Linked DNA regions of Rattus norvegicus. The main gene of each other region encodes a partner of the protein of the gene in region 2 in a complex. Links are inferred from orthologs where the notes say so. Each region holds a gene or a part of one and is shown on either strand. Other genes may lie near its edges.

Evidence for each region. Proteins that work in one complex are often made in the same cells at the same time.
Region 1: the proteins of S100a10 (region 2) and Hltf are in contact, whole or in part, in a crystal structure (PDB 4HRE), measured with the Homo sapiens proteins. The link is inferred for Rattus norvegicus from reciprocal best matches to the Homo sapiens genes S100A10 and HLTF. Residues at the interface, in NP_002957.1 of Homo sapiens: Phe42, Asp58, Leu59, Asp60, Gln61, Gln70, Ser74, Leu75, Ala77, Gly78, Leu79, Ile81, Ala82, Tyr86; in NP_001305864.1 of Homo sapiens: Thr32, Phe33, Phe34, Pro35, Phe37, Phe39.

What each region holds. Positions count from the first base shown.
Region 1 is NC_086020.1:104,473,436-104,484,019, reverse strand, and holds the start of Hltf (helicase-like transcription factor), read right to left. Parts: upstream 5,256-10,584; 5' UTR 5,081-5,255; coding exon 5,061-5,080; exon of another isoform or gene 5,001-5,060; intron 3,863-5,000; coding exon 3,655-3,862; intron 1-3,654. UniProt on the Homo sapiens protein: Has both helicase and E3 ubiquitin ligase activities. Possesses intrinsic ATP-dependent nucleosome-remodeling activity; This activity may be required for transcriptional activation or repression of specific target promoters.
Region 2 is NC_086020.1:181,899,411-181,909,826, forward strand, and holds the start of S100a10 (protein S100-A10), read left to right. Parts: upstream 1-5,043; 5' UTR 5,044-5,068; intron 5,069-10,416. UniProt on the Homo sapiens protein: Because S100A10 induces the dimerization of ANXA2/p36, it may function as a regulator of protein phosphorylation in that the ANXA2 monomer is the preferred target (in vitro) of tyrosine-specific kinase.

The sequences.
Region 1 (10,584 bases), about 77 Mb from region 2:
TTTTAGGGGAGAATTACCATGAAGGTTGTATGTAAAAGGCAATACAGAAATTGTGTGTGTGTGTGTGTGTTTGTGTATGTGTGTGTGTGTGTGTGTAGTATTTTCCCACATAAAAGAGGTTAGAGTTACCCTATATGAGGACTATAGTCATCCCAAAATCCATAGGTTTCCAAACAAAAGTTCAGTGCCAGGTTTGGTATTCTACAAGTAGTCCAAAAGATTCCCAAAACAATATAGGATATTGTCTTGGCTCCTGGCTGCCCAAAAGAACTTGATAGTAAGAAAAGCATAAAAGCACCATATACATTGTCCATAGGACCTGGAGAAATGAAGGTGGTACTGACTTAGTCCCTGCTGAGTAGCTTTCATAATACGAAAGCGCTATGGAAGCCTCCGGGACAGGGAGGAGGCGAGTCTTCTACAGCCTTACCCAGCTGTAAACCACGTGAACTGCAGTGACTGGAGTGACAAGAACTGTCCAAGTGTATAACAGTGGAATGAATGCTATGGTAGTAACTACCCATTTCCCGTTCTGGTTTATTTTTATTAATATGATTTCAATTATATGTGTATATTTATTGAAAAAAATGATAGAATATATAAAGTAAGCTATAGTATAAAAGCTTGATGAAAATTCAATCCAAGTAATCTAACTTTAAAATAATGAAGATATTACCTGCAAATACTGTACAGTGGGAAAATGAACTAAACATTTAATCTTTATATATTCTTATTAGTTAACTAGTATCATAGAAATTATTCTAAGATCAATATAATTGATTGTTCTGAGATTAATAACTATAACCTAACAATTCATAGAAGTGTTATTTAGAAAACAATGTCAATTTTGAAATAGTACAAATATGAAGTATGACTCACAAAAGGAAGTGAGAACCAGAGAAAAGATAAAGACCAACTAAGAATGGATAGATTGTTAAAATGACTAGAAGAGAAAATTTAACGAGCAAACACTAAGTACTACAATCAACATAAGTGTAAACAGAGCATCTGAAAAGCACGGTAAGAAAATGAAATGAAGTGAGGAAAAACAAAAATGGAAAATCACAGCACAAGGATTCGGAGGCTATAGTAGACATGGACTATTAGAGGCAAACAGGAAACAGATGGAGAAGTACATGAGAATACAGAGTTTCTAAAACAAATGGCTTCGGAATAAAGCAAACATTCACAAGTATAATTTTAGAATTTTGTTTTAGAATTTTTTTGAAATAAAAAAATTATAGAATACCTTAATGAAACTATTAGACTTCTTTAAAAAAAAAAAAAAAGAGGGGGTTGGGGATTTAGCTCAGCGGTAGAGCGCCTGCTTAGCAAGCGCAAGGCCCTGAGTTCGGTCCCCAGCTCCAAAAAAAAAAAAAAAAAAAAAAAAACCCACAATATCCTTTAATCATCAGGCCAAAAAAAAAAAGTCAATTCACTTAAGACAGAAAATCCTATGGTCATCAAAATTTTTATGAGCATTATATTGTGCAACATTAGGATATACAGAAAAAGTGTGAACCAAGCACTTTATAGTTGGCCAAACTGTAGAGAAACAAACGAAAATTATGACTTCACCAAAACTTAAAAAAATAGTTGTTCTTCCCTAAGTAATCTCCTATACACTACATCTCATACAGCTATTAAACAACCTGAGTTATTCCAACATAAAAATACAGAGAACAAAAACATGACAGATAGGAACCACAGAATTCCTCCAAGGAACCTCCTGATATCATACTTCAATTTAAAAAAAGGTTCTGAAACCATCAAGTACTCAGAAGGCTGAGACAAGTGGACCACTGTGGGGTGATATCACAGGTGAGGCAGGTGCAAGATAGAATGAGGCCTGTCATTGGACAAGAAGGAAGGATGGGCGGGGAAAAGTTTGAAGAAGAGACAGGAATGGAAGAGGGGAGGAGGAGGGAAAGAAGCCGAGAGACAACATGGAGGCTGACGTTAGGATTCCACGCTGTACCCTTACAGGTTGTTATGAATGTTCTTAAGGGATGGATGTGTACAGGCTTTATATGTTTAGGTGGGTAATTATATCTAATCAATTGGATCAGAGGTTATTGGGTTGTGTGTTCTTTCATGTAGCGATTTAAGTGTAAGAAAGTGTGCGATACTGGGCGGCTGCAGAATTGGGATACGTGCTTCTGACAAGATATTTAGCAGATATTTTGGGGCACCGCAGTTTCGGACCTAGAGCAGGTAAAAAGACAGCATTTTATTTTTTATATTTTTACAACAGACCACTACGAGTTCACTATGAGTTCAGGGTCAACCTTGGATTACTTAGTGAGTTCCAGACCAGCCAAGGCTGGAGTCTTAATTCAAACCCCTTCCAACAGGGGATTAAAAAAAAAACTCTTAATGAGTGTTAATATAAAAATATGAAAAGGGCTAGAGAGATGGCTCAGCAGTTAAGAGCACTGACTGCTCTTCCATAGGTCCTGAGTTCAATTCCAAGCAAGCACATGGTGGCCCACAGCCATCTGTAATGGATTCAATGCCCTCTTCTGGTGTGTCTGACAGTGTACTCACATAAATAAAATAAATTTATAAATTTAAAATAAATATGAAAAAAATGAGGGAAGGAGAAAGTAAGAAATCAACAAGATTCCACAAAAGAGACCTTATTTTTAAATATACACATCTATAAAAGGAAATTAGAATGGACTTTATAGCCCATAGCAGCCAAAACTAATATAATAACCCTGTCTTGAGCTTAACTGGAAAAAATCCATTTTAAATTACCAATAAAATGCAATTATTGAGTGCTTATTACACATATGGGTTAATTCCATTAATAAAAATGAAATGTAAAAACTGTGAGGGTTCTTTAAAGATGTCTTTTATTTCTAACCATGTACATGTGTGTATTGGGGAGGGTAGTCATGTATGCCAGAAGAGGGCAGTGGACACCTGGAGCTGTAGGTGCTGTGAGTTGCCAGCCATGAGTCCTGAGACCAGAACTGCAATTGTCTGTACAAGCAGCAAGAATTCTTAACTGCTGAGTCATCTCTTCAGCCCCCAAACTGCATTTTAAAGAGATATACACTGAACTGTACTAATGTAAAGTGATACAACTGGTATCTGTTTTTACAAGACCAAAAACAAGAAAGCAAACATAGAAAATACTTACTAACCACTGATCTTATTCTCATTTTGTTTGAAATTTTCTCGTAATAAATTAGATAACATTAAAATTATATTACTAAATGACAAAGATGAAACTAATAAGGATTATTGTCCAAAGAAAATTATATATATTCTCAATCTGTCCCCTTTTCTTTCTCTCACACACACATATACACACATTCAGTTCAGAGAACAGGAATGCATTAGAAAGAGCAGGAAATAAAAGATAAAAACTAAATGCAAAACCTGGTGGCTTTAAAGTCTTTTTTTTAAAAGTCATTTCTTAAATTTACCACATACCTCAGTAATTAGAAGGATCAAATGTGTGGGCAAAAGTACTTTATATACTGCAAGCACGGTAGAAATGGTAAAAAATTGGTCAAAGTTGGTAAAGGTATTCATGACTAACCTTTCATTCAAAGTAAAACATTAATTGTATATATCACCTTTTAATATAATTTACTGTTAAAACCATAAAAATACAATTTTATTATCTAATCCTATACTTACAACTCCTGTGTAATAGCGTATTCCAACAACTTGTCCTCTCATAGTTCCAAATAAAACCAAATCTAGCTCTTCATCACTAGTTTGGAAGTCATCTGGAGGGATAATGTCTTGGAATTCAAAACGTGGAAAGAAAGGTGGGTATGAAAGTCTTGGAATATTTTCATGGGCTCCATACTGGGCAGACTGTGAATACTTCCAAACAGAATCCCTATTTTAAAACAAAACAGAAAGCTAAAACCACAGAACTTGATTAAGTTTTCCCTCCTAGTTTCAGGCTGATCACTTCCTTATATTTTATTTTAGCAAATGAAATGCTATGTGGCAACAATCACTTAACAATTTCCCTGAATAAATCAAGAATCCAGTGGAGAAGGTTATCCGAAATCTGACCTGTTAGATACTGGAACTGCTTTCCTGGTGAAAAGAAAACTATCTAAAGTCGGAAGCTACAATTACAATGTCAAAATTTTCGGTGCCTACGTGATGAAGAAGAAATGGATTTATAAAAACAAAATAACCATTACAAGATTTTTTTTTCTTTTCGTTTTTTATTTCTCTTTTCTCCTCTCCCTTCCCCTCTTCTCTTTTGTTTTTTTTTGAGACTGTGTTTCTCTGTGTAGCCCTGGCTATCCTAGATCTCACTCAGTAGACCAGACTGGCCTCAAAGTCGGAGATCCATCTGCCTCTCCCTCCAAGGTACTCTTAAAGCCACGTGCCACCACTGCCGGCTATGAAAATATTTTTGACTTTTGACATAAATACATGCACAGCATCTTCTGCTTTAACTCCTTCTGAACAGAACACATTAAATTGGGTATCTAAACTTGGGACATCATAGAGAGCTGACCTGAAGCCCCTTTACGTATACATCGCCCTATTATTTTAAAGGATAGGGATAATTATTGCAAGAATTGGAAAAAAAAAAAAAAAAAGAATTGGGCATGAAGACCACTATAGATGATGAAAAGATGCGTTTGCTGGAAGCCTCCTAGAAGTTGTCATTCTCCTAAAAACACACAGGGCTATCAAGTAGCGAGTTTCCCTTTCAGCTCCTCTGCAAATACGTTTTAGTAAGCTTCTGCACAGTACCAGGAGACACACAGGATCGGATTGCCATAAAATGGCTAGCAAACATTGGGATAACAATGGTGAATAAATCATTCCGGTCGGGTTTCAGATCCCCCCCTGCAGTCTTTGACGCAGATTCCCCGAGGTCTTAGCAGCCGATTCTCGGGTCAGCCGAGACAGTGCTTTGGTACCTCCACCACAACACCAGCAAGAACCCGCAGAAGGAATGAAAACAGCACCACAGGAATACAAGCTGCACCTATTGCCCGGGCGCGCACCTTCACTTGAGCAAAACGCAGAGAAACTGGCCTCACGCCCAGCCCCCCTCAGCCCTTCACCTCTTGAACTTCCAAGACATGGCGGGGGGCGGAGTGGCTTTGGAATGCCCTGGGCACCCCGGATCTTCTCAGACCGTCTGAAAAAGCTCCTCAAGGTGTAGCGGCCCAGGGGCCGGAAAGCAAGTCAGAATCTGGAGGCCACAAGCTCCCCGGGAGACATGTCTACGCCCACTCCTTCCTGCAACAATGTGAGGAACCAGTGACGTTCGGTGATCGGCACTGCGAGTGCCCAATCGAAAGAAAGAGTCTGAGAAAACCAACCAATAAGGATACGTGAGGGTTGGGAGCTCCGCCTTGTGCTGCGATTCAAAGGCGGTGTGGCGCGCCAGGGTTCCACCGAGTTCTGACGTGGTCGGAAGCGAGTTGCGCGGGAAAACATCGAAGCGTCTAGAATGAGGCACCTGGCTCAAGGTCATGACGGACTTGGGGCAAGAACATGACTTCTAGCCACTGCCCTGATGCCTCAAGGATATTCTCATAGGTCAGACCCTCTCTCTATCTGATGTAATGCCTAACAGGGCCTGCCTCATTTCTTCTCCTGAGCCCTGACTATATTTGTTCTTAGTGACCTCCGTGTATGCGAGACCCTGAGTTTTGGAAATCTGAGTGAGAACATACAAATTTCCCTCTCCCACCTCGTTTTAATCTTGTTTAAAGAAATTTTCTTCCCTTGGTAGAAGAAAGCCATAAAATAAGACAACCTTACAATTCCGTTGCTGACAAAGGCAGACTGGTCCAACATTAGTGTAAGGTCTGAGGTGGTGGCTTGGGCCACATGTATTTTCTCAGGAAACTGAAAGAGGCACTGTAAAGAAATTTTAGAATCTAAAGGGACATTCCACTTGGAGTTTTGTGTGCACCAGTATCAGCCACGGTAAAGGTGATTCCTTGGGGGGGGGGGGGGGGGAGAACCCTAACGTATTAAGAGACAATCTGTGCTGGAGGCAAATGTCAATAACCACGGCCTGGGAACACAGATTTAGACCACCCCAAATGCTATATTTCAACTGAAGCAGTTTCATGAAGTTTTTATACTAACAGAACAAGGAAAGTCATAAATGAAGATACTTTTCCAATACATTTGGTGTGACCATTAAGTAGGTGGGAAAAAGTATAATGAAGAACCTCTATTAGAGGCCTAAGATACTCGACATTGTCCTTGGCTTTTTAGTTTGTTGACAGGTAGTGCTGTTTGTACATTCCAAATTATTTACCCTGTGGTCATAGAAACATGTTAAGTACAGAGGAGGACAATAAATGGCTACTAAGAAGGCTAAAATGGCTCAAGATAATTTGGCTCTGGGTTTGCAGCATTCCAAACAGTGCACAATCATAGTAGCTCAGTTAAGGGGCCTTGCAGAAGATTCATTTGGCGGGGCATCATCTTTCCTGGGATTGTTGTGCGTGCTAAGCAGGCATTCTTCCTCTGAGTTGCATCTCTAGCTGTCACTGAGAATCTGTAGAAGGAAGTATTTCATTCCCCCAACAGGAAACTTAATGCAGATGTTTCATTTTCTTCAGTTATTTTACCATCTTCATGGTGTTTTATAATACAAATGCAGAGGTGGGTTTTGGTTTGGGATTTTTCAGTAGTGGGTATTGACTCTTAAGGCCTGTGCAAAATAGGCAAGCTGTCTATCTACAAGAAATACCCCCAGCCTTTATTTTATTACAAGGACTCAAAAAGTTACCCAGGCTGGGGATTTCCCAGGACAACGTAAGGCAGAAGCCTCAGTCTCCACAGTAGCTGATAATCTTTGTATGTGTCAAATTAATAAAGCTATCTATGCTCATTGGACTAAATATTACCAATTCTTATAACATGGTTCTTTAACAGCATTTTTTCTGCTGAAAATAGAAACCCAAACCTCAACAACAAAGACAAACCACTATTCATCAGCCACAAAAAGAACTTATTTCCTCAAGTAACCATGTAGAAAAGAAGCCCTATACAAGCTTCCTGTTGCTAAAGGGGTTGCTGTCACTCCTCAATCACCTGAGGATTCACCTGAAAGCTGAACTGAAAATTCCTAAGCTACTGCCCCAAGATATGTAAATGTATACATGTGTGTTTCTGTACTATCAATTCACTAAAAATGGCATATAATTTTCTATTGATAAATACATGTTGAATAAATGAGGAGGGTTTCTGGAACTGAGACTGTCTAAAAGGAATGCAACAGAGTATTGTAGAACAAGCCACCCAATAATTTCTTGTAGCCTCCATGTATATAACCCTGCAGGCATAAACACACACATACCACACATACACACACTTATGCACACATATACTCACATAAACACAAAAAATAGCCAAAGAATATTTAAAAAGAGAAAAATTATTTATTTATAACTGCTTTTTCATTGATTTTCAGCCTTTTGGCTAAGATGAAGTGTAGTATAACTGCTTTTTCTCACATAACCAGGTATCAATAGATTAGAGTTCATGACAGAAGACTGGGCAAACCATAACTGGAAGAACAAAAAACATGATGGAAAACTAATACTGAGTAAAGTTAGTTCAGCTTGGCTAATTGATATCAAGTACTTGTTTTAAAAAATAAATAATAGGGCTGGAGAAATGACTTAGCAGTTAAAAGAACAGACTGTTTTTCCAGATGGACCTGGTGTCAAATCCCAGCAACCACATGGCTGCTCACAACTATCTGTAATTAGACATACGTGCAGGCAAAACACCAATGTACATAAATTGAAAATAAATTATTTCTTTAAAAAGCAATGAATAGCATTCATTCCTTTTTAATAATATCCTTGTAAAATGAGTTACTGTCTAATGAGTCCTTCAACCCATAATGAAGACTATGGTTGTTTGAGGCCTGTTTCTGAATGAGGTGTAGTTGGCAAGGTTGTTCCCCATAAGTAACAGAATAGTGCAGTTTCCAGAAGCCAGTCATTTTCACATATATCCTCAAAGAAAACTGAATTGTTTCAAATCTAAGGCCAGAAGATAAGCTAACCTCCACTCCTACCCACTGAGACAAAAGGAGATGTTTCCTTTTCGTCCTTTAGACACTGAATGTTCTTCAGATAGCCAAGTTCAGAGCTGTTTGAGATTAGCTTGCAATGTGGCCACCTGCTAGGACCCTTTTGTTGTTGTTGTTCTTGTTGTTGTTCTTGTTCTTGTTCTTGTCCTTGTCCTTGTTCTTATTGTTGTTTTGAAACTGGGTCTCACTACATAGCTCTGGCTGTCCTGGAACACACTAATTAGACCAAGCTTGCCTCAAAAAGATCTATCTCCTTGCCTCTGCCTACTGAGTGATGGATTAAGGGTAAACACACCACCCCTGGCTCTGAACAGGGGCCTTTACACAGAGGCAGCACCATTCCAAGACTAGCTTTGCACAGAAATTTAAGTGGAATTATTTCCAGCTATTGCCAAGGCCATACCAAAGCTATCTCTTTTCTTTTACCTAATGAATATTAGAAAGATTGGTAAGCACTTTCTACCTTTCAGTAAACATTAGCCTACTTTGTATCTAAAAAATTAAATGACTAAAACTTCAACTCTCTATGCAATTTTGATATGATAAAATCTAATTTTTACATGGGAAACTATCATATTGGTAAATCAAACCGTCACGTCCTAATGTTCACCAAACTTTCATGTCCTACAGTCCTAGAAATGCCAAACTAAAGTCGAACTCACCATTTCAAATACTCTATTAGAAAGTGAAAGTTTAAAAATGAAGACTAGGGGCAGTCAAGCTGCAAGAGCCCTGCGGTCCAGACTGAACCGAAATCTGAACAGACCCAGTCAAACAGCTCCCTGCACCCAAATCCCATGTGAGGGAGAGCTAGACCTTCAGAGGGGCAGACATACTTGGGAAACCAGATGAGACTGCTCTCTGCCCACATTTCTGACTCTAGAGGAAAAGACGTAGCACCATTAGGGTTCCCTGTGCACAGGGACCCAGAAGTAGGGGCAGGCCCTTCTGGTTGCTCCCCTCACAGAGAGCTGAAACCCAGCCCCAAGGAGCGACTTCAAGCTGGAGACCAGAGGTCTGTAAGACCAACTTTTCTGTTCCAAGTGACCTGTCCGGTGGACTCAAGACACACACCGACAGGAACACCTGAAGACCAGTGGACAGACAGGAACGACAACACACTTGAAAGCAGGACACTCTGTTCCCATAACTGGCTGAAAGAAAACAGGAAAACAGATCTACAGCACTCCTGACACAGGCCAATAGCACTGTAAAGCCACTGTCAGAAATAGCAGAACAAGGTAACACCAGAGACAACCTGATGGCAAGAGGCAAGCACAAGAACCCAAGCAACAGAAACCAAGACTACATGGCATCATCGGAGCCCAATTCTCCCACCAAAGAAAATACTGAATATCCAAACACACCAGAAAAGTAAGATTTAAAATCACATTTGATAATGATGATGGAGGACTTTAAGAAAGACATAAAGAACTCCCTTACAGAAATGCAGGAAAACACAGGTAAATAAGTAGAAGCCCTTAGAGAAGAAAGAAAAAATCCCTGAAAGAATTACAGGAAAACACAATCAAACAGCTGAAGGAACTGAAAATGGAAATAGAAACAATAAAGCAAGCACAAAGGGAGACAACCATGGATATAGGAAACCAAAGGAAGAGACAAGAAGCAGTAGATGGAAGCATCATCAACAGAATACAAGAGATAGGAAAGATGATCTCAGGACCAGAAGATTCCATAGAAATCATCAACACAACTTTCAAAGATAATGTAAAACATAAAAAGATACTGACCCAAAGCATACAGGAAATCCAGGACACGTTGAGAAGATCAAACCTAAGGATAATAGGTATAGAAGAGAGTAAAGATTCCCAACTCAAAGGACCAGTAAATGTCTTCAACAAAATCATAGAAAAAAACTTCCCTAACCTAAAGAAAGAGGTGCTCATAAACATAGAAGCCTACAGAACTCCAAATAGATTGGACCACAAAAGGAACTCCTCCCGTCACATAATAGTCAAAACACCAAATGCACAAAACAAAGAAAGAATATTAAATGCAGTCAGGGAAAAAGGTCAAGTAACAAATAAAGGCAGACCAATCAAAATCACACCAGACCTCTCAACAGAGTATTAAAGCCAGAAGACCCTGGACATGTCATGCAGACCCAAATCTCTTATTACACAAATACCAGCCAAGGTTAGTGTACCCAACAAAATTCTCAATTAACATAGATGGAAAAACCAAGATATTCCATGACAAAACCTAACTTACACAATATCTTTCTACAAATCCAGCCCTACAAAGGATAATAAATGGTAAAGCCGAAAACAAGAAGGCAAGCTAGACCCTAGAAAAAGCAAGAAACTAATCATTTTGCAACAAAACAAAGAGAAGACAAGCACAAACAAAATCTCACCTCCAAATACGAATATAACAGGAAGCAATAATCACTATTCCTTAATATCTTTCAATATCAATGGACTCAATTCCCCAATAAAAAGATACAGATTAACAAGCTGGATACCTAATGAGGACCCAGCATTTTGCTGCTTACAGGA
Region 2 (10,416 bases):
CATGAAGGAGTGCTGCTTACTGGCTTGCTCCACGTGGCTTGCTCAGCCTGCTCTCTTATAGCATCAAGGACCATCAGCCCAGGGAGGGCACTATCCACATTAGCCATCCCCCAACAATCACCAATTAAGAAAATTCCCTATAGGCTTGCGTCCAGCCTGATTTTATGGAGACATTGTCTTAGTTGAGATTCCCTCCTCTCAGAAAGACACTGGTTTCTGTCAAGTTGACATAAAAGTATCGAACACAGCTATGGGTCAGAGATTTTCTGTTTTGGTCATTGGTATATTTCCAGTAGCCAAGTCACTGTGGGAATTGATAAATCGCCCAGTAAATATTTGATAGAGTATAATCATTTGAATTCTCATCTTTCCTACACATGGAAGTGGTGATTTTCAGCCCTGATCTAAGAGGATTTCTGGGGAACTGGGAATAGGGCTCGGGAGTCAATAGAAATTGTTGCTCTTTCAGAGAACAGCAGTTTTTCCCCAGCACCCACATTAAGTAGCTCACAGTCCCTGCGACTCCAGTTCCAGGGCATCCAACATCCTTTTCTGGCCTGTGCAGAGACCTATACACATATGACATACACTCACAATGGCATACATACACATTAAATGTAAATATTGCTTAAAGGGGAGGAATTCTGTAGGAAAAACAACAATAAAACACAAGTCTTTCCAATGCTGCCACTTTAAGACAGAGATAAGTTAGTTATGCAGCTTTGGCTGAGTGAATCTTTCACTCACCTTCAGTAGTGACAGTCCAACCTGGTTTTTCTAAAGCTACTTCTCATGCAAAGTAGAAGATCACACAGAAGGCGTGGGACCTGCTGAAACCAAGTAGAACAATGTCATTGGTTCATTTGGCGGCTCAGTTCCTTCCTGCACCTGAGAAGATGAATAAATCCACCCCCATTTACCCACAATGAAATGGCTGACTGGCTGTGGGGCTGTGCCTAGATAGAGCCTTAGGGTTACGGAGAGCTGCTCACTTCCTGTTTACATTCTTCAGTGGCTTCTTATTACCTTAGACACAAGTTCCCACTTCCTAAACAGGTTTCAACAAAGACACAGGTGTTGGGTGTCAGGACTTGGAGCTTAGGGACTTTGCTCTTTCTCCATACCACTGGGGACATTCCTGAGTCCACACCAACATCTGACTTTTTCTCCTAGCTACACCACCACCCCAAAGGGCCTGTTTGCTACTGGTTCTTTAAGGTCCACATAAGCAAATTCACAAAAAAAGATGCACTTCCTTGTAGGAATCTGTATAAAGCAAGCACGTGAGAAAAGATGTTTGTTCAAAATTGGTCCTTTTATGCATTATGTGATTTATTGCTTATGACACTATAACAGTTAGAAACAACTTAAATATTCAGCTCTCACTATTTTGACTACATTAGTATAGTCATATTTATTTAAATCAGTTTCCCTTCCTTTCTTTTTTCTTGACCAGATCAGTGTAACTGAAGAGCCTTGCAGGACTGCTATGACTCCTCCAAGAGCATTGAAAGTGACCAATAAAGTTTCTTCAGCTCTAGTTTACACTTCTACAGACAAAGACACAGTGTAACTTCCGGGAACTATAAACACTTCCCCCCATCAGTACCTAGGACAGATTGGTCAATGACCTTGTGCTGCTTCTCCAAATACAAGCACTCAAAGGAATATCACTTTATTCACTCAGGTTATGTCATAGCAAATAAACCCCCTAATTTTTGGGTCTTTTCTACAAATCCCTACCCCACCCCCATACCAACTTGCCCAGTGATGGTCAACAAGTAATTTTCTTCCTTATATTGATTTGGGGACCAAAGCTCTTCCCAGCTGTGGCTCTTCCACTGGAGGAGCCTTTGAGTCCTGGCAAACAGTAAAAAGAAACATGGGGAAATCACCTTTTGTTGCCTGAGTCTGGAAACGATCCTCTTCACCGGCAAGCCCATTCCATGGATGAGTGACTAGTCACATAGTCCCAATCGGTACTGGGACTGTGAAAGAGGTGCTAGAAACATAATCCCCGATTGAGTGGCCACTTTCCAGAAACGGTTCTACCCTATGGAGGAGAAATGAGAAGCACTGCTATGCCTCTTGGAGAAGGAGGAAGAATCTCAAGTGTGGCACTGCCAGTAAAGCAACTCTCCTGCTCGTAGCATTCTGCACACTGGAAGGTGCCTGCCTGGTGGACAACTTGTAAGTTTCTTCCTCTTTATTCCTGGGACCACACTTCATCCAGCCCCTGTTCCTCCAGTGCCTGCTCTCTCTGTATTAGGACCAATCTGCCCTAGATACTGATGGGGTGAAGTGTTCATAGGTCCTGGAAGTTACTGTTTTCTTTGTGTGTATTACCCTGCTCTGACCCATGCAGAAAGTTGTACAGCCTACAGAGCTGGTCTCTGCTCCAGTCAACTGTTAGTAGGGAAGTAGGGTTGATTTCACTTTGTCCATGTGGTTAACAAGGCATAGCCATTTCCTGCAGGAAGAACTTGGTTGGCTGCAGTCATTTTTTCTGGAGAGGAAGGTTTTGGTTTTGATTTGTTTTTTGACAGCCTCACTTTATAGCCCAGGCTGACCTCAAATGCACAACCCTTTTGTCTCCCAAGTGCTAGAATTACAAGCATACCTCATCACACCCAGCCTCAACACTGGAAGCTTCATGGGGAGTCAGTGGGAAAGCACTTGCTGTAGTGTCTATCCTTTATGTGCCCTTAGCGTCTTTTTAAGACTGAGCCCACTAGGGCTCCAGATTCCTACAGTTCTGCTAGCAGATTGAAGAAAATAGTCACTAAAGGGATGAAAAGTGAACATGATGTTCTTGATAAAGAGCGACACAGAAAAAAGCAAAAGTGGGCTGAGATGTTGCTCTATAGTAGAGGGCTTACCTAGCATGAGAAGCTCTGGATTCAATCCCATTTAATCCTGGCACCTCAAAAACAGTGAGGGACGAGAAGAGGATGAATACTGTGGAACAACAACAACAAAAAAAACCCCACCAATTTAAAAAAATCTATTTAATCATAGGACTAGAAAGAAATATATGAAAATGTTTATTCTTTGGTCCATGCATTTATAAACAATTATTTATTGTTTTAGTTGCTATGCTTTCCAAACCCCTCCACAAAGGGAATATGAAGTTTGGGTCAACAGGGGTTCCGAGAGTAAAGGTACTGCTATGCAACCCTGAGGACCTGAGTTCAATCTCCAAATCCCACAGGAATGGACTGACTCCTAAAAACCATTCTTACAGTGCCACGCATGTGCTCTGGCACACATACACATGGAGGCACATGCACGCGCCCAGACACGCAATAATTTTTAAAAAGGCACTCAGATACAATGAGCACCTATATACCTTTCTAAAAGGTTACAATAGTTTTGTAGATTAAAGAATTACAGTGATTATTTGTTGAGTTCTTATCGAATGTTGCTTCCTCCGTGAATCAGATTGTTGCCCCACTACCGGGCCTTAGAAGCCCTCCGTCCAACATTCTTGTACTGCTCAGCAATCACAGGGAATTGTTTACTATATCTTCAGAAATCTTGGAGGTTTTTGAAAGAAGACACTGATTCCCCATCTCTGAATCCCCCGGCTCTAGCACATACTAAACATTCTAAGGCTCATGCCCCAGTGAAGAAAGCCAGTGAGTAGGGATATTCTAAATTCAATTGCATTTCCCCTGAGATTTTCTCCACAGCTGCGATGATCCGGGGAGGCCTGAGGAAAATTTGGAAGAATTGCTTTTGAAGGGCCAGAACTGAGGTTTCAGAGACCCTGGAGAAAAGAGAGCTGATCCAAGTTGGGTTTTCCTGACCGCTGCCAAGACTGTCACGTGGTAGTGTGTGGAGAATTCCCTAGTTTTGTTTATCCCTTTGGAATCTCTCATCCTTTCCCGGACTTCCCCGGAACAGGGGAAACCCCAGTACTAGGGACTGGGCTGTGTCACCAATAGCTGATAGTAGTATGCATTTAACCCCAAACCACAAATAAAGTATCGAGGAAGGGTGTGATTGTCAGGGGACACTAAAGTTGTCACTAAATATCTTCTAGAAATTTCTTCTAAAGAGCTTTTTAGGGCCAAGTAGAGTCAAGAAGGAGGCTCTGAAACAGATTTTAGCAATATTTGCCACAACTGAAACTCAACTATAGACCAAGCAAAACCACAAGCTGTACCAGGAAAGGTGAACCCTGTTACAAAGATGCCCCTGAAGCTGACAAATGCACCCGCCCTGCTCCTCACCACCCAGTGGTGGTAAGGCTAGGCAGGAGCTCAGGGGCCTTAGCTTCTGGACTCAACACAGGAGACCCCAGGATCAGATCCTAGAGCAAACTAGGTGGCCAAGCTGAGACCTGTTCAGCGCGTTCCTTCTGCTCATCCAAGAAATAATTCCTAACCCTGTAGGTTCCCGCAGAGGCGCTTGGCTCTGGTTCTGGGCCAGTGTACCCCGCAGGACCGCTGGATTCTTATTTCTACACTCACCCACTTTCTAAAACCAAACCCGAGAGGAAGGGCGAGGCGCTGTATGAGAATGCCCTGAAATATCCGAGACTAGAGCATTCCTCCGTAGGGACGTTTACAATAGGGCTGTCCCTGGAGACCGGCAAAGTTACTATGTCAGCAGAGTGAGTGGGAAGGGTGTGTGTGTGTGTGTGTGTGTGTGTGTGTGTGTGTGTGTGTGTGTGTGTGTGTGTTTTGGAGAGAGAAGGGAGAGGAAGAGACAGAGAGATTGAAAGATTGGAGGGGGAGGGAGAGAGGAAGGAAGGAAGGAAGGGAGGACAGGAGGGAGGGAGGGAGGGAGGGAGGGAGGGAGGAAGGGAGAGAGAGAGAGAGAGAGAGAGAGAGAGAGAGAGAGAGAGAGAGAGAGAGAGAGAGAGAGCTGGGGCGGGGTGGGGTGGGGTGGGGGGCAGGAAGGGATGGGTGGGGAGGGCCGCTGCCTGCCCTCCAGGCTCCTCCCACTCCGGAGCGCCTCCGCCCTCGGTACCCGCCCCGCGTACAAAGACGCGCGATCTTCGGCGCCAGCCCCATCGCTGTGTGCCCAGCTCTTCCAAAGACTGCAGCGCCTCAGGGCCCAGGTGAGTCCCGCACTTAATATCTGCCCTCACCCCACAGTCGCTTGCTTCAGCCTCCAGCGGGGTTTCGCTAGTGCCTCGCCCCGCGGGCCTGAGTGAGGCCCCCTTCCAGCTCGCAAACTGCTTCGGACGCCCCCAGACCCGCTAGGCTGGAGGAAGCCAACTCTTGTCTGCAGCTACCCCACCCTGGCGTCCGGGCCGCCGTTCCTCTGATCTCACTTTCAGCGTGTAGTTCTTCCTTTTTATCTCTTCTACTTTGGAACTAGTCTTAAGAGTTAACTGGAGTTTAGCAGAACCTGCTTGCGCCCTGTCCCAGCTGGCAGTTCCTTGCAGCTTTAGACTACAGGCAGACCTCAGTCCAGATGTTCATAGCCTCCTCCCCAACCAGATTGTCTGAGCTGCCTTGGCCAGGGAGGACTGGCGGCTTGGCAGCTGGAGGATTCCCTTTCTAAAGGACCCTGCCCTGCTGGTTGCCTTAGCCCCAGTGCAAATTGCAGGTTGGTTCAGAAGGATCTTTAAAGAAGGACTTTCTATTCGTTGTCTTTATGAAGAGGTGTTGGGGTGAGTTTCTCTCTATCAAGTGTTTCTCTTGCTACTTGAATTAAATAAAAGAGAGGTGGAGCGAGAGCAGGTTTGGTGTAGAATCTTCAGTCCCGGCTTGATTTGATGCGGTGCAGTGAGAGGGATGTACCTGCTTCATGGCCTGAGCTTGGTTACAGGAATGACTGAGCTCTTCCCCAGCCCTGCCTGGGAGGACTCTGGAGAAATTACTGAGTGGGTGGCAAGGAAAACAGAAAAGTAACAGACCAGTAAAGAGCCCGGAGCCACATTCTGAAATCCATAGAACCCACCTCCCTTCATTCTCTTACCACCCCCACCCCCACCCCAAGAAAGCTAGACACATTCTGCAGGGTGGGGCTAGCACAAAGGGTTCCTGGATTCTCCTAGTGATCTGAGGCCTGTGACTCAGCTGTGAGACCTTGGGTGTGGCCTAGCTGGTTGCTGATTCTCTGTGAACGTTTGAACAGATCGCTCCCTGAAGGAAAAGAGGAACTGTGCCATCTTCCAGGGCATTTTCCAAGAGGAAATGAGTCACAACTAACTGGCCACCAACCTGCAGGAGGGGTTTCTTGACTGAGCTGCCTGTGAGGGCAGTAATTAGACTGGCAGAACCTCGCCAAGTCTCTCTCTTTCCTCCTGAAGCTTGCCTTTCAGCTTCCAGGAGTGGATTTTTTGCATGTTGTACTTCAAGTTAGGTGGAGACACCCTGTCAGAGAGCCTTCGGTGTGTTTCAACAAATTGGAAACGATAATGTCAGGAGTTGGGGCAAGAAAGAGTTCATGTAATTCACTGAAATTTCATTTTCCTTAGTCTCCCCCACCCAGATTCCTATGCAATGTCTATTTAATCGGCGCTGACAGTCTGAGTCTGTCTGTCTGTCTTTCTTTCTTTTCTCTTTCTTCCTTCCTTCCCTCCCTCCCTCCTCCTCCTCTTCCTCCTCCTTCTCCTCCTTTTTCTTCTTCTTCTTTTGGTCTGCTTGGCATAGAGCAGTTATTTGTGTCCACCCTGATTTCTGAGTGATGTTGTTCCCTGGCTTTTCCTGAATACAACATCAGACAGACTGTTGTCCTTCTATACCTGGCCTCTGGCCAGCCTCTGAGCAGTCACCCCAATGTGGTCAGGCCTTGGGCTGGGTGGGGCTGAGTCTGGATGCTTCTCTGCTTTCCACTGACAGTTAAAAAAAAAAAAAAGTCGTGTCTCCCCGCCTCCCCTCCCAGCAAATACATAAGTATTTGATATGCCTTGGACACACTCCATCCATTTAAGCCTAGCTAAGGGAACAATGGGATTCTTTCAGAATTATGAAATAAACTAATGTTCACAGTACTGGGAAAAGCTGGACTAAAATATGGGCTCTCAGGATTCACAACTTAGGAATCACATCTCAGAAGCAAAGGGAGTAACATGCTTGGCATGTGTGAGGCTCTGGTTCTTCAGGACCATGGGCCACCCCTGGGGGGAGACAGGGAGGGACTGATTGACTTTTAAAACCAACTTTCACCCCTTCAACTAAATAATTCCCACTTGCTGCTGTAGCCAGTGTTGGTTGGGTTGCTGGATCATGACAGCGTCTCATGGAAATATGGGTGGGTGTTCTTTGTTTAGAATTCTTTCTTGCTATTGAATTGCATCTGGAACTTTCTTTTGCAGATCATGTCTGTAGTAAGCAAGTTTTACTTGGGGAGAAAGGCTAAGCCAAAATCCATTGTTTTAATCTCATTCCTACACCAAATATACTTTAAGGGTCTGATTCAAGAATGTTCTCTGGATTCAATTAAAAAAAAAAAGAAAAAAAAAGAATTGTTCTTCAAATTTTCCTAAACAAAAGAACAGAAACCCTATAAATGTTTTAAAATAATGGATGGTTATGTTCACCGACACCATAATTAATTCTGGGTGGCTTCAAGAAAAGTAAGATATGGACAAAATGCAGATGAACAAAGTAAATCAGGCCTCCAGCTTCTGAGATTTATAGCCTAGACCTGGGTATAGGTCCCCATCTTATGCCCCTCCCACAAAGACCAACAGAGAAAATGAGAACATTGTTGGTACTTCACACCATAGGCGATGTGTGTGCAAAGTGCTGAAAAGGAAACAAAAACAGGAATTGTTTTCTTCAGAGGAAGAGAGAGTTAAGACAGGTTACTCAGGCTAATGTGAAGGGCATATGCTGTTATCAGAATAAAATGGTTCAGTAAAAGGTGAGTAGGTAAGGCCTGGGTCTTTCCTGAAGTGCTAGCCAAGGAATGACAAGTGTGATGAATGAAACCAAGAGGAACAGCAGGAACTAGAAGCCTGTGCATCTGACCAGACCTGCCTAGCAGGACACATAGTTTATCCCCTTGTGTGTGGAATGTGTATGCTGTACTCTGCTGTTCCATTCATAGGTGAACCCTGATGAGGCCTTGCTCCCACCCTCCCCAAAACTCACATCCTTCAGCTGCTGTGCTCTGAGCTACACTGTTGTCATCTGCCTAAAGGCAATTGCATCTGCATCGCCTCAGCTTTGAGTGATTCATATAGCAAGTGTCATCCAGTGGCCTCTCCATTAAAGCAGATCAATGTGTGGTTCAAGATGGCTCTAGAGCCAAGGGAGGCAGGGGAGAACAGGTGTATCTGAATTTACCAGGTATGAAGTGGGGTGTCAGGGACACTGAAGAGGTTCCCCAAAATCTCAGACCAATGCCCAAGGCCCTCCTGACAAAGTGTTACCCAATTAGAAGGGGAAGGCCCACCCCATCTGGAGTGGAGTTCGTGGGGCGTTAGGTGGACTGGAGATGCCAGATTCTTAAAGTTCCTAAAAAGCTTTCATTCTAGTAACGGATTTTAGAGCTATAGTGAGCCCTGTAAATGCAAGCCCCATCCAAGCAACGGAGGATCCAAGTAGAGAAGGACAATATGATGCATTCATTCATCTGAGAGAGCAGCAGTTTCACATTTCTGTTACGTGTGTTTGCTTGTTTGTTGTTTTGAATTTTGAGACAGGGTCTATATAACCCATGCTGGCTGATAACTCCATTTCTCCTATGAGCCCCTCCTCACCCCGGAGTGCTAAGTTCATAGTTCTTGGGACTGTTCCTACGACACCTGGCTGCTTTGCCTTACTGTAATCCTTTCTCCAGAAAAATTTCTTGCCTGTAGCCCTGGTCCCTCTGGGATCAAAGGCATATGCTGTGAATTTCAACTCTGTTTTAACATTCTGGCCAGCCCCTATCTCTATATTATTATTGCAGGTATCTTGAACAGGCTGCTCTGTTTGCCACTCTGTGGAATAAAACAGGGAAGTTGGGGTGGGAGGACCTAGAGCAGAGATGAAGCTTCAGGGAGGAACACTCACTTCATGGCCCCCTGGGTAAGGCAGGAAGGAGTGGACTCACCTCAGACCTTAACTCTAGGCAAGGTAGCCTGACCTCACCCTCCTGAAGAAGATATTCAAGTGAGGCCAGGATTTTCTCTGCTTTCAGCTTGCATTTCCTGGGAGCCCTAAATTGGTCTGTTTTTCTATTTGGGGGAATCCCTCTTTAGCTCTGCAATACCTCCTGATGCCTGGGAGGAAAGTACAATGGATATCCACCTAGTTCTAACAGCTGGGTTGTCTGGAATCTGGAATCTTTGCTGTGAGAGGAGGTCAGGAAGCTCTGTATCACTGAATGTGGGCACAGACTTTAAAAACTTCGTTAACATCTGGCTCCTTTCCTGAATGATTGAAGGACTGAGGTGGCCATCCCATGTCCTTCTTTAGGTGACTGAAATCCAGTTCTCTTAAACTCTGTGCTTCTAAATCAATCCAGGCAAGGTGGACTCCCTTGACCCACTAGAAACCTTATAACCGGGATTGGGGTGGTAGGGAAGATGGGAGCGGTATAATAGAGGAAAAGGGGAGGGGCTCCTCTGGGTTTCATGCTAGTGTACACCTTGAAGTATAAACTTGCTGCTGTCCACGTCATGCAGATGGATCATGCCAGATCCTCGTTGGCGGTGTTCTCAGGTGTGGGATTCTTCAGCTGATTCCAATTTTTCTGAGAAAGGTAGAGTTACAATCCTTAAATATAACTCTTCAATGCTAGTGTTGAGCACCGCACCTTTGACCCTGTAAAAGATAGTATTTAGAATCCAGGCCTAATGACTCAGACTCCAAATACCATCTACTCGACTGACAGAGGCAGGGAGCTCTCAAGTGAAGGGCAGTGTAGGTAAATTAGTGAGACTTGTCTCAAAAGAAAAAGTGAAAAGAGGGTCAGGGTGTACATATATTTCAGTGATAGAAGACATGCATAGCATGAGTGAGGCCCTAGGGTTGTGTGTGTGTGTGTGTGTGTGTGTGTGTGTGTGTGTGTGTGTATTGGGGTAGGTTACAGAATTTAGGGATCTGAGCAGGCAGCAGGATTCAGACCAAAGCACACCCCAGGTTCCTGTTGTTACTCTTCAGCAGAACTTGCCAGCTTCTCCCATCTTTACTCAAAACTCTATGTGGACCCTGAGCTCCGCTAGGCACTGGGTCTGATTGAAATATTTGCTCCAGTTCATTGTACTCAACACAACATTTCCTTTCCTCTCTTTGAACTCTTCATGAGATGAAAGGCCCTTGGTCTCTCACTGCACCCCAGCTTGTGAGGAAAAATGCTTCTGCATAGTTGTGTCAAAAATGTATCTGGTTCCTAAGGAGTTTGTATATATCCTTACCTATTCCTTCTCTGTTGAACTTGATAGTGACCTTTATGGAGTGTGTACTCAGACAGAACAGCTGCGTTTTACTGCTAGAGCTCAAGTTCAGGGTGTTAGTAGAGTAT